Linked DNA regions of Arabidopsis thaliana. The protein of the gene in region 2 interacts with the protein of the main gene of each other region in a pairwise test. Each region holds a gene or a part of one and is shown on either strand. Other genes may lie near its edges.

Evidence for each region.
Region 1: the proteins of CYCD5;1 (region 2) and KRP2 interact in a two-hybrid assay, tested with the Arabidopsis thaliana proteins (one large-scale study listed by BioGRID).
Region 3: the proteins of CYCD5;1 (region 2) and CDKD1;1 interact in a protein complementation assay, tested with the Arabidopsis thaliana proteins (one large-scale study listed by BioGRID).
Region 4: the proteins of CYCD5;1 (region 2) and CAK1AT interact in a two-hybrid assay, tested with the Arabidopsis thaliana proteins (one large-scale study listed by BioGRID).

Annotation. Positions count from the first base shown.
Region 1 is NC_003074.8:18,798,785-18,802,141, reverse strand, and holds KRP2 (KIP-related protein 2), read right to left. Parts: upstream 1,837-3,357; 5' UTR 1,635-1,836; coding exon 1,308-1,634; intron 1,232-1,307; coding exon 1,170-1,231; intron 1,086-1,169; coding exon 918-1,085; coding exon of another isoform or gene 914-917; exon of another isoform or gene 849-913; coding exon 776-848; 3' UTR 547-775; downstream 1-546. UniProt on the Arabidopsis thaliana protein: Binds and inhibits CYCD2-1/CDKA-1 complex kinase activity. Regulates cell division which is crucial for plant growth, development and morphogenesis. May regulate early lateral root initiation by blocking the G1/S phase transition.
Region 2 is NC_003075.7:17,677,177-17,681,777, forward strand, and holds CYCD5;1 (cyclin d5;1), read left to right. Parts: upstream 1-1,991; 5' UTR 1,992-2,320; coding exon 2,321-2,563; intron 2,564-2,643; coding exon 2,644-2,730; intron 2,731-2,814; coding exon 2,815-3,124; intron 3,125-3,199; coding exon 3,200-3,348; coding exon of another isoform or gene 3,349-3,354; exon of another isoform or gene 3,355-3,429; coding exon 3,430-3,612; 3' UTR 3,613-4,088; downstream 4,089-4,601.
Region 3 is NC_003070.9:27,713,100-27,717,926, forward strand, and holds CDKD1;1 (cyclin-dependent kinase D1;1), read left to right. Parts: upstream 1-1,810; 5' UTR 1,811-2,013; coding exon 2,014-2,109; intron 2,110-2,392; coding exon 2,393-2,691; intron 2,692-2,786; coding exon 2,787-2,895; intron 2,896-2,980; coding exon 2,981-3,106; intron 3,107-3,183; coding exon 3,184-3,419; intron 3,420-3,500; coding exon 3,501-3,782; intron 3,783-3,870; coding exon 3,871-3,919; 3' UTR 3,920-4,321; downstream 4,322-4,827. Other genes in the region: AT1G73700 (MATE efflux family protein), read right to left, coding at 4,455-4,514, 4,601-4,687, 4,780-4,827.
Region 4 is NC_003075.7:14,286,619-14,291,413, reverse strand, and holds CAK1AT (CDK-activating kinase 1AT), read right to left. Parts: upstream 3,018-4,795; 5' UTR 2,944-3,017; coding exon 2,443-2,943; intron 2,251-2,442; coding exon 1,312-2,250; 3' UTR 1,298-1,311; exon of another isoform or gene 976-1,297; 3' UTR 501-975; downstream 1-500. Other genes in the region: AT4G28990 (RNA-binding protein-like protein), read right to left, coding at 20-209. UniProt on the Arabidopsis thaliana protein: CDK-activating kinase that modulates CDKD-2 and CDKD-3 activities by phosphorylation of the T-loop. Activates CDKD-2 C-terminal domain (CTD) kinase activity. Activates CDKA-1 probably by phosphorylation.

The DNA.
Region 1 (3,357 bases), on a different chromosome or scaffold from region 2:
AAATGACTCAACTTCTTCTTCTTCTTCTTCTTTTTTTTGGTTGTTGCTAATCGAGTATAAATTATAGGCGTTAGGTACACCAACCATATCTAATATCCATGTTATATTAGATAGATAAATTAGGAAAATAAAATAATACAACTCAAAATAGTTACTTTGTTGAAAGAAATTGAGAGGGAAAAACTGGAAGTGTATATTTAAGCTATTTTATTTTTAAAAAATATATAATTTCAAATAGCTAAATTTGTAAAATGCAAGGAGATAGTACAATATTTTAGTTTAATAACTTGTAAAGCACAAACAAGTTCGTAGTTAATCACTAGAGTAGCACCTACAATCCAATCCAAGTGAGAATAAAATAGTAACTTTTTTACTGAAAAAGCCTGATCAATAAACAGTTATATTCCTTTACCACGTCAGCCGTGACCCTTTTTTGTTCTGCTCTACACTCTCTTTTCATTGTTAAAAAAAAAAAATCAAATACTGTATGATAATTGATACATAGAAATAATAGAAGCTATTTAGTTTTCAGTAACAATTATAATTACTCTTAGAGTTATAAACTTATAGTTTATTAATCGAGAAAAACACGAATCTAATTAATTACCTCAAGGAAGTACAAACAAAAGTTGAATTACATGTTATTGATTATTCGAGAGAAAGATATCTACATTTGGATTTTGTTAAAAGAAAAATCAAAGCAAAGATTATTACAGAAGAGAAATAATAAGTACTTTGGTGAAAACAATGATCATCATTATCATCATCGTCTTCTTCATGGATTCAATTTAACCCACTCGTATCTTCCTCCACCAAGTGGCTCATCTTTCTCGAAATCGAAGTTATACCTAACAACAAATTCATTATCAGTTTCAAAAATTCGATTAAAAGATTTGAATCAAAAAAAAAAAACTTACTTCATAGAACATTCCAACAACTTATTCCGAAGATCTTTCTCCGCCACCTGAAAAAAGTCTTCTAACTCAGCTTCCTTCACCGTCTCATGGAGACTCTTCCTTAACCTGCGGCGAGACTCTACATCTTCAACAGCCACCGAAGAAGAATCCATGTTCATCGATTCCTCACTATACACAAAAAAATCAAAGACATTTTATAGAAATGTTTGTTACTGATTCAAAATTTTAATATCTGTAACAAATTAAACAAACCTCTTATTCAAATCATCGTAAATCCACGACGTTTCTGTTTCACGATCGTCACCGTTATTTTCCTGGAAAAACGAATTCAAAAATTTCAAAATCTGTAAATCAAAATTCAGTTTCGATAAATAATGCTTTCGTTGTCACCTCAAGATCTACAAATTCGATTCTCCGTTTCGATTTCTCTTCCGATGTAGAACAACACGAAACCGACGAATCTTCTTCTTCGATTTGACACTGTTCTTCAACCGGAGGAGAATCTCGCCGTCGTACTATAACAACACTCGTCTCCGACGCTCCTGCTGAATTTCTCGCCACAATTCCACCGCGATTCGTCGCCTGTACACACGGAGACAGAATTATCCTAGATTCCACTAAATCCACTTCCTCCTCCATCTTCCTTCGTTTCACCGTCGTCGTCGTAACTCCATTCTCTTCAACCACATCTCGTTCTCTTCTCCTAACCGCCGCCATAATCTCCTACGACGTCACCTTCCAGATCTCTATCTCTCTCTAAAATCACTCGTTATGTGTGCGTGTTTGTGTTTCTCTCTCTTTCTCTCTACTAGAGAGTCTCTAGCTCGCGTACCATTTGGGTTATTCTGTTATAAGATGGTGACGATCTTCGTTTTGATCGTAATTTGTTAACGGCCACGATTAACTCTTGTCATTTTCATATAAAGCCTCGTGTGAAGTAGGAATAGTAATTCTTTTAATATGTAACGGAGAATTTGACGGCGCCGTTAAAAATCGAGTATTTTATACCTTACACGATTGATACGTGTCTTTTATTCGTTACGATTACATTAATAGTTTCAAAGTTTACAAAATCAGTGCAATTAGTGCATATCTAGTTACTTTAGAATGATAAATTTTTTTGAATTCAAATTTTTTTGAATTAATATGTTGTTTTTATTTATTTTAATATAATTGGCTGGCTTTTCCAATAAATCAACGAGAATGAAAATAATTATTGTGGATATTAAGATAAAACTGTTTATTTTTTGTTATAATAATTACGAATTTATATTATAAAGATAACAATAATACCATCAAATTATCATATTAATTCACAGACGATCAAATAGATAAAAAAATGTGTGTAAAGCAATATAATGTATATGCAACATGGAATTTGACAACGATGTTATAGATCGAGTATCTTATACCTTTACACGATCAACATATGTCTTTTATTCGATGTGATTACATTAACGGTGTCAACGTTTACAGAATCAGTGCATATCTACGACTACGTTAACGGTGTCAACGTTTACAGAATCAGTGCATAATTTTTTTTTTAGAATGGTAAATAGAATTTGAATTCAATTTTTTAATTAATATGTTTTCTGTTTTTTAAAATAATTGGTTGGTGTTTCCAATGAAATAGAATGAGAATAATTATCGTGGATTTTAAAAATAAATTTAGATTTGATAATTTTTTGTTGTAATAATTGCGAATTTAGATTATAAAGACAATAAAAATCTTAGATTTATAGAGAAAAATGACAATATCATCCAATCATCTTAAATAGATTAAAAAAAATGTGTGTAAAGCAATGTAATGTTGTCACGTTACATTATTAGTGATAATATGTGTTTCTGTGTTAAGATCTTATCAGTATTTGACAATGTAGTTGTGTATAGTTTTTCAATGCATAGTCGTAATATTTCAATTTTGTGAGGGGGTCGACCGTACACATATCAAAATAAGGTATAAAATACATTAAGTCTAAAATACATTAAGTCTAGGGCCATGACGTATTTAACGGTTAGGTGATAATGAAATCAATGCTGCGACATGCTGTTTTGTTGTGGCAATACAATACGTACACAAACATATTCACATGCTTAAATATTACTACTAATTCACACAGTGAATTAAATACTACTAGTTCATATCGCATACATTTCGTTGGTAAAAATAAAAGAATTTTTTTCCATCATCATTTTCGTCTTATATTGAATTTTTTCTTTTTTTTTAATGCCGTCGTTCTGTATCGATTCTTGAGTTCACACAAGACAGTGTCTGCGCATATCCATCATACCATTCAATTTAATAATGTGCCCACGAGCTGCATACTCAATCATTACTAAACTGTCTCTCTCTTTTTTACACTCACTATAACAATGTGTAAGTATATATACATACTTATGAGATATTCAAAATAAAATAGTGAGCTAAACATATAATGTA
Region 2 (4,601 bases):
TGAGAATATTACTTGTATCTAGGGGGGAGATCGAACAAATGCTGCTGATACTTCACTAACATACACATAAAAGTTGCAGATTTTGGATCTTGCGTCTTCTTGGTTTTATACCCTTTTCTTACATCTAGTCTTATAAATATTAATACTATAATAGAAAAATTAATTATCCTATATATTGAATGACTCGGCTCCAAAGCCATGCGCCTATATATACAAGTCTTTTTATTTTTTAAAAAATTTGTCAAAAAAGGGACCAGAAACATATAAAGATGGGAGCCTCATTTGCTGATGGATAAATAAATATTTATTTGATTTTAAGTTTGTTCAAGACTAATTATAGTACAAATTAGTAAATTGTTGTTCTTTTTTTTTCTTAACATATTACATATTGTATAGTATAATTCCACTTTCATCCAATTGGATAATCAGTTATAATTCGGATGGTTTACGATACATCGGATTCTGCTTTCAATTTTTCTTGTATACATCAAAATTTAACACATGATAAGGTTTTGGAACCCGCTAACGAGACCTACCTATTTTTACAATAAATATACTCATTCAGTATTTGTCTATATTTCTACCTACAATCTATGTGAATTTGCTTACGTATATCTACTCTTCTTATCTACGTACTGTATAAATTTTCATACACAATCTTCGTGTCTCGTAACATCTACTACATGAGTCATATACAACTTTCTCACCTAACATGGAAGTCATTACTCGTAGGCCTAATTACTCGTTACCGTGAATATAACTATAAAAAGTGAGGAAACAAAAAGATTTACGGAGAAGAAAAATTGAATAATAATTGCAATAGAACTATAGGAAAATTTGTATATGACTTAGCAAAAATAATGATATGGAACTAAATTAAAAAGTTGAGAGGATTTTTTTTAGTGGGAATGGTATGGTGTTTCCCCCACCAATTCCTAAAAAAAACTTATTGCAAAATTGCTCTTTTGATCTTTATTTTCTTCCATTGAAAATGAATTTCTAGGTCTGAATTTAATTGAAGTCAATAAGTGGGAAATAACTAAACTAGCTATTCCTCTGTTTTCTGTTCACAATTCTATTTTGAATAAAGTACATTTTAATTCAAACCTCTTAAAATAGAAGTTACTACAAAAGCAACAAAGGGGGTGGTACGTGGAATACACTAATGAGAAATGTTAATAAGAACGTTGTATTTGGAATGGGATTTAACTTTCTGCACATAAATTTCAATGGGATCATTATTCTTTCCTAACTAAATGATTGATACAAATTCAAAGGATCCTATAAATCTTATCTCAGAGACCGAAAGAAAATTCCATTTGTACAAAACAACAAATAAATAGAAGAAAAAGTTTGATGATAACATTCTTAACAGAATCCGTGAACTTTGTTCATGTAAGAAATCTAGAGTGTAATCAAGGAAGTTCAACAGGTAAAAACAATGACATTTATATATGGACGTTCTTAAAACGTGTAAATCTCATATATTTAAGACAGCCACAATAGTTCTAAACGCTCTCCATTCCTGCATTAAGTATTTATTTCTATTAATAACATTTAATTTATCAATAAAGTTCACATTATCATAGACAACTCCGAAATTAAAAAAGTTTTTTTAAAATAAATTTGCTTAAACTTAAATAATCAACAAAATACAAAACAGTTTAATGGAAATAGCAGAAATCTTTTTCAAGAAAATACAATACTATTAGATAAAAACAATTTTGTTAAATTAAAAAAAACCCATAATTGACTAGCATCAAAAAGTCTTCAAACACAAGTAATCCTGCTGGATATTAAAAAAATAAAAGAGTAATCATTCCTTTAAAAAATGTGATTATTTGTCGACCCAAAAAAAAAGAGTGATGATATTATACATATACTCAAATATTAGTGAACAAATAAAACCTAAAATTAATCAAATAATAAAGATTTTTAATTTAAATGTAACCGCTAAATAACGCCCCCTCTCTCTCCCCCACTTATTTTTGGCGGCACCAGACGCGGGAGACTCTCTCTCTCTCTCCACTCTCTCTCTCTTTTTTCTTTGTTTTTTCGTCACTTGCTCCTAAAATCCCAAATCGAGTAATGGAAGAAAAATCAAATACGATGATTTAGCTTCCCTTCTTATTCTTCCCCTATATTCACTGCGATAACTTTGCCTCTCATCTCATAAATTAAAAAAAAAACACTCTTCTCACAAATTCTTTATAATTCCCCTTTTGATGTGTACGGACACACCACCGAAGCAGAAGCAGAAGAAGAAGAACACTTCTATCTCCGCCGCCGCCGTCGTCTTCATCATCATCGCCGCCGTTAAATGGGTGAGCCTAAAGACAGTCTCGCTCTCTTCCTCTGCCACGAATCGGAGTCTTCTCTAAACGAAGACGACGACGAGACGATTGAGAGATCTGATAAGCAAGAACCTCACTTTACTACTACGATCGATGATGAAGATTATGTGGCAGACCTTGTTCTTAAAGAGAATCTCCGATTCGAAACCCTACCCTCTAAAACGACGTCGTCTTCCGATAGATTGATTGCCATCGATTGGATTCTCACTGTCCGTAATCTCAAAAAGATTTTCCCTTTTTTGATCTTTGTCTTAATCTCTGATTGATTGGTTCTTTGTCTTAATCTCAGACAAGAACAAGATTTGGGTTCCAACATCAAACAGCTTACATTGCAATCTCATACTTCGATCTGTTTCTCCACAAAAGATTCATCGGTGTAAGTTTCAATCTCCAGTTTCATTTATCTATAAAAATCTCACCTTTATCTTCAGATTAAAGCTTAAAGATGGTTTCTTTGTAGTTGCAGAAAGATGAAACATGGGCGATGCGATTGTTATCAGTAGCTTGTTTATCATTAGCTGCTAAAATGGAGGAACGTATTGTTCCTGGTTTATCACAATACCCTCAAGATCATGACTTCGTTTTCAAACCCGATGTCATTCGTAAAACTGAACTGTTGATTCTATCCACATTGGACTGGAAGATGAACTTGATCACTCCTTTTCATTACTTCAACTACTTCCTTGCTAAAATCTCTCAGGACAACCATTCTGTTTCTAAAGACTTGGTGTTGTTAAGATCCTCTGATTCTCTTCTTGCTTTAACTAAAGGTAACTCTATTAAGAAACACATTTTTTTCTCAAGATCAAAGCATTTATTGATATCACATTTTTGTTTCCATGTAGAGATAAGTTTTACGGAGTATCGACAGTTTGTTGTTGCTGCTGTTACTACATTGCTAGCTTCTTCTTCTACCTCATCGGATATTAGATTGACTAGAGAAGAGATAGCTAACAAGTTTGGTTCGATCTCTTGGTGGACTTCTAATGAGAATGTATAAATCTTGGTGTCTTTTTATTCGATTTTGATTGTTTGATGTTGATGATCATAATCTTAGGAGTGTTGGGTTTTGTAGGAAAATGTATATTTGTGTTATCAGAGAACGCTAGAGATTGAGGAGAGGAAACATATGACACCTCCACCGGAAATAGCGGTTTCTCGCGAACCGCCGGCTTCAGGAAGTGGCGCTAAACGCCGATTGTCTTTTGATGATTCTGATCAAAGTTCTCCACCAGCCAAGAGAATGCGTAGGCTATGAAGAGAGAGTTTCTTTCTTCTTCAAGTTTTGGCTTATATTGATTTGGTTTCTTTTTTGGCAACATATTGATTTGGTTTTATATTCAATCATTTGATTATAGAGAAAAAATGGTCTGAATACATCGGTTATTTCAATTTTTATGAAGTAACTCATATAGGTTCTTCGTATGAAGGTCTTTGGATTTCTTGGGGATGAAATGTGACTATTAAAACATTAGGGGCTTCTCTGAGAGAATCTAGGAAATATGAGGAGTGAATGTAAATAAATAAGAAAAACAGAAAGGGTGAATAGTTTTAGGCCAATAGTTGCAGTGCCAGTGATTTGGTTTCACATCCTCTTTTATTTTTTTATTGTCTTATTTTTTTATTTGTTATGTTGCAATTTCTTTTTCATTTGATATTACAAAATTTTGTCATAGATTTTTTTTTTTTTTTGGCATCAAAGTCCATTTTTTTAACCTCTTTAACTTTCAAAAGGGCTCATTCATAGCAAATAATAAATGAAAAAACTCTTTTTAAGGTAAGGTAAAATTATTTTATATTTGATAAATATATTTATTTTCTTATCTTTATTGACACTTTTGGTCATCTCCAAAGTGAATCCATCTGTATGCTACTCAACATGTTATGTCCATTCCACAAAGTCCTTCGTGATCTTTTCATGTTCTCAAATCTCAATATATAATATCTTGGAAAAAAATTAATCAAATAAAAAGAAAATTTTCTTGTTTAGGAAAAATCATCGTTACTTATCTTTGATAGATAACTACTTTTACGAATTGACAATCAGTCGATCACGATAAACTAAAACGGATATATATTTTGCTCCAATAAGTTTTCTTTAGCATTATAGAAACCAACAACTTGTAGTGGAACTGTGGAAGTACTTTGGATCAATGATTGGATCTAAAGATGAAACCCCAATTTATACAGAAATTTGCATGTGATGTTTTTAAGTTAACGTACTATTCTACGCGCAAGTCAAAAGTG
Region 3 (4,827 bases), on a different chromosome or scaffold from region 2:
CATATAATTCTCAAATTATAGCGAATAATCCTTACCAAAAAGAAATTATAACGGAAAATTAAAGATGAATCCGAATAAATAATTGTTGAGTAGAAATAAAGAAAAATAAAAAATAGAGAAGGTGAAAGAAGATGTAGAGCTCCCTTCAATCCAAAGAAGAGTAAAAGCCATTAAAGGGCAAGTTAAAGCTCCTGAGATATGCAATCCATATAACCAAATCCTTTTTTACTTTACAAGGATTAGGGCTTATGGGATCCATAGCTTAGCAGCTTTTCTTTACCCTGCTCAACTCATGTTTGAACTTTAAGGAGCTCTACTTCCATCGTCAGATCAAGATCTATCGAAAAACAAAGTATCTTGTCAAATATATTATGGATCTGACATAAGCAAACTGTAAAGACCTTTAACTCTTCATAAAACAATGAGAAAGTTTTGATGAGAACGTGGATTAACAAAAACACCAAAAGAGGTAAATCTCTTACATTAGAGCTATGAAGGAGATATAAAGACAGAACAAAAGAGAGGAGGAACCCTAATTATTAACCCTAAACATACTTAGAGAGAAGGAAAGAGAGAGAGAGAAGAGGCCACGTCATGTTTTGGAAGAAATGATAGATAGAGAGTCGTAATTATAGTGGTTTAGATATTCGTGATAGAAGAATAAAAAGAAAAGAAAAAAAGGAACAGGTGGGTGCATCTGAAAAGACATGGGAAGGGTCTGACATTGTTTGTGTTAGATTCCCTACGCGTCACATGCGTCCTTCTCGGCTTTTGTGCTTCACTCTTTTTTTTTTTGGGTAAAGATAATAAAAATAACAATTATTATCGTTCCTGCCAACTACTAGTCCACTACATTTTTAAGATGTAACTTTGAAAATGAATTTGGCCGACCATTCTTTATTTCTTTTAGAAAATAATGTACAAGTGTTTCCGTTTGGTGACCTAATTCTAAATCATTTGTTAGCCCTAACAACTAGAAATTTCAACACGAAATAGTGAAATAGGTTGATGTACGGTCAGGATTATAAGTCTGATGATGTGGGCACGAAAGCAGGTAATTATTTCTCTGTCTGAGCAGAATCTATTGCTAGATTTATTACAACGAACTTGTCTTATTACCCTCACGAGTCTCGTCTCTTTCACAATTCAATGGCTTATTTTTAAGTGTGTTTTTTTATCCATCGTGTAAGTTTTTTTTTGAGTTGTTTAAATAAAAATTTGTATGATGAAAAATGTTCACTAGCAAAATACTTGACCCTGAAGTATCCTAAATTTTTCTGGTTCATACTCAAATGTTAGGCTTACTTTGTTTTCTTTGGTCACCTAAAAAAAAGTGGACTGATCAGCCTAATTATTTGTGCAAACTTTAATGATTGGGCTGCATCTCTTTCTTATGAGCCCATTATATGGGCCCAGAAGTTAACAGTTGCTTGTCTAACCTTCTCGGAATAGTTATTTGGGCCTTATATTTGGGCTTGATTCCACGCTTCATGAAACGGAAGTTAATCCGGTAGTGTTCTCCTGGTCCATGCTGCGGAAAATATGAGCAAGGTTAATTTGGCAACTTGTTGATGCAGCTTTTTATTTTCTTGGATTTTTTTTTTAATTTCTAAGTATGTTTAGGCAATGTTCCAATATTCATACAGCTAAAAAAATGTTAATATTCACAATCATCTTTTGTTTAACCACTAACTTATAACATTTTAAACCGAAGAATAATTGACGAGTCAATGTTGAGTAAACCGGAACAATTTTGCTTTTCATTTATAAACCTTTAAACGACGTCGTTACGATAGACGCTTCCAGCTTCGTTTTATTTCTAGCTTTAGAGCGTCTCTTTCCTTTTTCGTTTACTTTTCAATATTTTCCCCTAAAAATGTCGATTCCTTCTGTAATTGCTCTAACGGCTACTTTTTCTCCAGAGCATCATAAGATACCTCAACGTTAACGATAACAAATTAATTAAGATCAGTTTCGATCAATTGCTTGTGATCCGATTAGAGAGTTCCGGAGATGGAACAGCCGAAGAAAGTTGCTGATAGGTATCTAAAGCGAGAGGTTCTTGGTCAAGGTACTTATGGAGTCGTCTTCAAAGCTACTGATACAAAGGTGAAGATGATTCCTCTCTCAATTCTTCATATTTTTTGTCGATCCCATCGAAACTAGGGTTCCAATTCTGTCGTGTGTCTTTTGACGTGTCTCTTCCTGGGAACAATTTGGTTAAATCTGATAGCTCTTAGGTTTTAAATCAGCTAAAGTTTCGATCTTTACACTAATATGTGTTCTTAGAAGTCAAAGTTTGCATTTTTATGTTCTTAATGGATTTAAAGTGTGTAGTTTTTGTTTAAGTTTGTATAAGGAAGCTGATTTGTTTTGTTGTGGCAATTTGTAGAATGGAGAAACTGTAGCGATCAAGAAAATAAGACTTGGTAAAGAGAAAGAAGGTGTGAATGTAACAGCTCTTAGAGAAATCAAATTACTTAAAGAGCTTAAGCATCCACATATAATTGAGTTGATTGATGCGTTTCCTCACAAGGAGAATTTGCACATCGTGTTTGAGTTCATGGAGACTGATCTCGAAGCAGTTATCCGAGATCGTAATCTCTATCTTTCGCCTGGTGATGTCAAATCTTACCTCCAAATGATATTGAAAGGTCTTGAATATTGCCATGGCAAATGGGTTCTGCACAGGTACTATCATTGGAACTTAGAAGCAGAACTTGTTCTATCTCTAATAAGGTCTGTTTTGATTTAAACTTATGGATGATCATTCGTATTTGTTTCAGAGATATGAAGCCAAACAACTTGTTGATAGGACCCAATGGACAGCTGAAACTTGCAGATTTTGGGTTAGCACGTATATTTGGTAGCCCAGGTCGTAAGTTTACCCACCAGGTATGCTTTGTTTGTTGTGACAATGCTATTTATGTAGTAGTTCTGCTATCTTTCGTATCTTGATGTCCTTTAGCAATTTTCATAGGTGTTTGCTAGATGGTATAGAGCACCTGAACTTTTGTTTGGTGCAAAACAATATGATGGTGCAGTTGATGTTTGGGCTGCTGGCTGCATTTTTGCTGAACTTCTATTACGCAGACCATTTCTTCAGGTGAACCTCCATTTTGATTGTGTAGTAATCCAGTGCATCTGTCTACTTGTTTATCTAACTTACTTATTCCATTGCAGGGAAACAGTGATATTGATCAATTAAGCAAAATCTTTGCTGCCTTTGGGACTCCAAAAGCAGATCAGTGGCCTGACATGATCTGCCTTCCTGATTATGTAGAGTATCAATTTGTCCCTGCTCCTTCTTTACGTTCTTTACTCCCAACGGTTAGTGAGGATGCTTTAGATTTGTTGTCAAAGATGTTCACCTATGACCCCAAGTCTAGAATATCGATTCAGCAGGCTCTAAAACACAGGTACCTAAAAATCTCCCCTATGGATAATGCATAAGAACAGGTTATTTAGTTTTGTTCTCAAACCTTGATTTCTTTTTAAAGGTACTTCACATCTGCACCTTCACCTACTGACCCTTTAAAGCTCCCAAGACCAGTTTCCAAGCAAGATGCTAAGTCATCTGATAGTAAACTTGAAGCCATTAAAGTGCTGTCACCAGCACATAAGTTTAGAAGAGTGATGCCTGACCGAGGAAAGTCTGGTAATGGTTTCAAGGACCAGAGTGTTGATGTCATGAGACAAGCTAGCCATGATGGACAAGCACCAATGTCTTTAGATTTCACCATCTTAGCTGAGCGGCCACCAAACCGACCAACCATCACCAGGTAAAAACAATTGGTTTTATTACAGTCAGTTCTTGGTCAGCTTAAAAAATGAAAACTTTTGATGAATTCTTGATTTTTGGATTTGCAGTGCAGATAGATCTCATCTGAAGAGGAAACTTGATCTCGAGTTCCTATAGGATATCGCGTAACAGGCTTCTTCTTGACGTCGTTCTTCAGGTTCCTATAGCCTATAGGATCTCTCTTACTGGTTGGTTCCGTTCAGTAATTCCTGAAATTTTTCATATCACAACTAGTGATGACGAATAGTTTGAATCATTCTTTCTGTCTAAAATAAAGAATATAAAGCACAGATGATTAACTAATCATCATGTACACCCTTCATAGAAAAATCTCTGTTTTTGGCCTATGTTTAGAAGAGAGCTCTGATCCCAAACTCATTCTTCGTTCATTTCCAATTTAAAGTCCAGAATTTTTAGTATCGAACACGTTGGTGTATTACATATATGAATTTTTGATCTCATTACACTAATGCTCGATGAGAATGGAAACACATCCAAGGAATTTCAATAACTATGTAACAATGGTAAAGTTTTCTAAAGACCAATGTACGGCCACATCAATTAGAAATTCCCAATAAGTTCATATGGGCATACAAGAATAAAGCACTCATTAAGCTCATTTGCAACTGCTTTTTCCTCAGACGTTTATTGATCATTGGACGTCACCATCTTTGTCATCTGAAGATCCGACTCTGTTCGTAGCTTTCTTTGCCTAATCATGTAAAACAAGAAACAGAATCACATTATGGCAGAGTTATTATACATATAAAACTGAGCCGATCAGTTAAAAGGTTTTACCTCTTTATCCCAGTTTGTGAATATAGTGACTAAGGAAAGACACAACACTTGAACAGACAATGCTGTTACGATTCCCAGCCAAAGCCCCTACAATATGAAAATACCACAAAATAAAAGTTTCTATAAAACTAGTCTTGTGTTTGAACTTGAGAATGAGAAGGAGAGTTTAAGATTATTACCCGACCACCAATGTGGAAATGGAAACCAAGTAACAATCCTAATGGAAC
Region 4 (4,795 bases), 3.4 Mb from region 2:
GTTTAGAAGAGATACGAACCACCATTGTCACCCTTATACCGATCCGAGCGATTAAACGAAGGCCGGTCACGAGAGACTTCTCCGGGCTCATAGTCTCCGGCGGCGTTGCGGCCGTCTTCTCTGTCGTTGCTTCCGGAGGGACGTACGACGAGACTGCTGATGTGAGGCGGGTGATGTTGCGTCGTCTGCTCTTTTTCTGTCGACCCCATTTCTCTCCGATTGTCAAAACTCACTCCTGGAATTTCTCGATGTCCGTTTCAGAGAAAAAAAACCCTAGGGGAGACTTGGCGATAGATACTGGTAACTGTTATTAATTTATCTTTTGGTCTATCAACTTTTGTCTAATTTTCAATATTGCCCCTTAAGTTTTATATTTAGTATGTTGGACTAGTATGACTGATTCATGGAGTCAAATGTATTGTGGTTCTGGTTTTCTTCTTTTTATAGTAAACAACAGTTCACATTTCTGGAAGAATCAGATTCAGTTATGATTTTTGTGTGTGCTATTTTTGTTGTTTATGATATCAGTTTTGATTATGTAATTTGGGTAACTGAAAATAATTTATCTTAGCAAAAACTGGATGACATATAGGATAGGCTTTTATTCCATGGTCTCATTATTGAAGGGTTGCTACTACACATGTTGATAACTTGATATGAAAAGTTCAAAATTGATCAAAATATAGAAACAATTAAGAAATACAGATCCTAGAAAGCAAAACTCGAGTATATATAGATTTTGTTTCATTGTTACTTCAGATGAAAAATAGGGTAAAGAATGGCCTGGGCAACAAGAAAACTAGCTCTTCAGCTAATAGCTAAAGGCTAACACCGACTTTCCAATTGTAAATGTTACCATTTTCATACGAGGGAGGCAGAGAGAGAGGAACAACACACACACACACACAACACATTTTTGACAAAGTAGGCGAATTCAGGGGAAGTCGGGATGATCAAGATGCTCAACCATGGACTCTGCCAAGGAGAGATAAACACATAAAACTGAGATCGATGAGAGAAACAAAGCGCAAAAAAAAGTTGTGAGATCAATGAGCAAACGAATTTCAAAAGTTTTTGCCGCCATTGATACCTAAACAATGTCCTAACGAAAAGTTAACAATTTTCTAAGCGGTATTCTGTAACAAGATCTTCAAACAACAAAGAGTGTTGCATCAATCAAGACCTAAAGAAACACATGTCAGGTTTTGGTATATACCCATTCTCTTTGAAGAAGAAAGAGAGAGAGAGAAGAGACTGATTTATGTGTTTAAGCGAGCCAGAGCTTTTGACTGCGTACCTTAAATGCCAAGGTCAGGGGAATTCTATTGTAAATCCACTACTGGTAGGCTTTACATTCATGGGTCCAAAGCCATCAAAATCTGAATCTGAATCCATTTCTCTGTAATCATTCCACTTTCTCGGAGAATCCTCATCTGGTCCACTCATTGTCGGAGGCACATAGAGCTCTGAAACTGGAACTGGAAGAGGCTCTTCACTTAAATATTTGTCATTCAGCATCTCCATAGTAGTAGCTCTACTAGCTGGATCATAACAGATAAGCTTCTTGAGCAGCGATATCACATCCCCTGAATGGTTGGGAAGGCATCCTTCAATACCAAGAGGAGATTCTACTTTAGCAAATGAGATTGACTTGTAGTCTGGAAGATCAACACAACCAGGCCAGACCTCTTCATTTAAATTTCCCAGCACATTGGTCACTCTGCTGATCTGATCAATATCTGAAATTCCTGGGAACAAAGGCTCAAGAGACAAGAGTTCTGCAAACACACAACCAAGCGACCATAGATCGACCTCTAACCCATACATCGTAGATCCATAGAGCAGTTCTGGTGGCCTAAACCATCGGGTTCCCACACAAGATGTCATCAAACCCTGTGTATCATCCACTGCTTCGTCAGCATCGTAAGAAAACGAGTTCCTACCGAGATCATCATCCATTTCACTAACAGTGCACGTTGCAAGGCAAGATATGTCTCCATCATGCACATTCGAGTCCTTATCAGTATCATCTCTAACAACCTGTTTAGCCTTGAGCTCTTCCACCTGTCGGAAGTACTCGTCTTTACTCATCGCTTCCCGTTCCTGACCATCAGACCCTTGCCTAGGTGAGTTCTCATAATCAGGAATAACTTCTGGTGGTTCGCTGGTTTCTCCATCTTTGTCTTCCAGTTTGTAAGCTTGTTGGTTTTCATCTGAAGCTACAATATCATGCTCCATGAGTATCCTAGCCTGTATATGAACCAAGAAGCCAACACACATTTAGAAACTCATAGATTACACTAAATGATAAGGTCTAGCCACTTGATTACACTAACTCTTCCAAATTTCAAGCAAACCAAGCATTTTTCATTCAGAGGTTTCTCATATTTGTGCATCAAACAATGAAATAACTAACACAATCAGTAACAATCATAATCTCACCTGACCAAAATCAGCAAGCTTAAGAACTCCATCATCAGAAATCAACATATTCCCAGGCTTCAAATCTCTATGTACAATCAAATTCCGATGACAAGCATCAACACCGGTTAAAATCTGAATCATCCATCTCTTAATCTCCCCAACCGAGAATCCATCCCCTCCTTCTACCTTCTTCTTCCTCTTACCATCTCGGATCACCGCAGCGAGATCCGACCTAAGAAACTCAAGCACAAGCACAGCGTTCTCTTCCTCACGCCAGAAGTATTCGTGCATAACAACTACATTAGGAGATCCATTGAGGATGGTGAGCGCGTCAATCTCCCGGAACGCAGATTGGTAATCGAAAATCTCCTTGAGCGCGACGATTAGACCGTCGGAGAGACGGCGAGCTCTGTAAACGTCGGCGTAAGCTCCGGATCCGACTCGCTCGAAGATCTCGTACTTGGCGATTATCTCCGGCCGGGTATGGATACTCCAACTGGTCGCCGGTTGTTTATCCATCTCCTTTAAAACGGCGTCGCTTTTCTTCGGATCTTTCCTGATGATGGATGATTATTCACATAAACGCTAACGAATTCACCAGTTTAAAAATCCAGTTCCCATGTTGTAATGACTAAAATGCCCTCACAAGTTTTGGAGCGGACAAGAAACCAAACCGCAGGGGGGGACTTTTATCACTTATGCCACTTTTTTGAAAAAACTGATCTGGACTGCCATAAGTTAATCTGAATGCCACCGAAAATGTGATATACCAGTTGTACCCTTAATGAGTTGATTAAAAAAATGAAAAAGAAATTCAAAAGCTAAATAAAGAAAATCGAGTTCGGAGATTCTCCTCTTCGTCGTCGTGTTCTTCTTCTTTGGTCGACGTTCATCTTCTTCGTCGGCCACCATCGATTTCCTCATGCCGCCGACTTGAAATCCGGCGTAAAAGCCACGAATTAGGTCAGTTTCTTCTCATATTTCCTTTGACATTGGTGCATTGTGATTTTAGATTGGGATTTTGAATTCTATATAATTCCCAGCTCGATTCAATTTGATAGTTTGATGATTGGTTTGCAAAGTAAAGAGTAATCGATTAGAGGTTGCCGAAACGTTATTTGAGGTGATGAGCAAAGGAATGTAGGTTGAATGTGAGTTGAATTTGAATTCCGAGATTTCATATTAAAGATTTGGGGGGTTTGTGTTTGCAAAGTTTAGATTAACCAATTAGTTTAACGAATAGGTATGTATTAACATTGGAAATCAATTGAAAGGTAACGAATTAGGTTCAGTAGAGACGAGTGCGACGAGAGATTGATTTCAACGTATGATAAGAGTACATGTGGTATAACTATTAAAATGTTTGATTGGAGTTGAACTGGTTGTATTTTCAGGAGCGATGAAGAAGAAGATCCACACTAAGGTACATTTTGACTTTGGAGGATACTATTCTGAAGTGAATGAGTGGATTGGTAAAAATTCACTATATGTTATATCGTTTAAGACGAGTAGTTTGGAGAAGATTAGCTATTCGATGTTAGTTGACAAGATCATGAAGAAGGTTGCGATTGATGAAGCTTCTGTCAAGTTGAAACTGAGTTACAATCTGTCTAAAGTTAGGAGAGAGACATATATTGTAAATGATGAGGATGTCTTCATATTTTTAACAGAATCTGATGAAGAGAGTCGGATTCCTGTTTTGCATGTGGAGGAATTAAATGGTATAGGAGTTGAGAGGAGAGAGGAAATTTCTGTACCGGAGCGTCGAAGTTCAGTTGGTGTAAATGTAATAGAGGATGATGTTTTAAATGAAGTATGTGAGATGGTGCATGATGGATATGATAATGATGTGAATGATTGTGAGAATGTAGTAGGTACGGAGATCGTGGCTATCGAAAGGCCGATGGAAAGGCCGGTGAATTCTGTTGAGGAACAAGATGAGGATGATAGGATTGATTATGATGATATTCACGATATTCCACGAAGTGTAGAAGTTACTCCGCAGGTTATAGAATGGGATGATGGTACGGGTATTGAAATTGGTCAAGAATTTTGTTCAAGGGAGGCTGTGTGGGAATTGGTTAACAGAGCTGCAAAGAAAGAAGTTTTTGGAGTCTATACTATTAAGTCAGACCCGTTGAGACTTATGCTACGATGCCGCCAAGCTTCTAAAGGGTGTACTTGGTATCTAAGAGTTGCGAGAACTAAAAAATCTCATTTTTGGAGTGTTAGAGTGCATAGAAAGATGCATACATGCTCTCGGAGTGTTGAGACTACAAGCAACAGTATACAGCGAGGCACACCAAGATTAATAGCATCGGTTTTACATTGTGATTATCCCGGAAATTTAGAGACCCCAACTCCAAAAAAC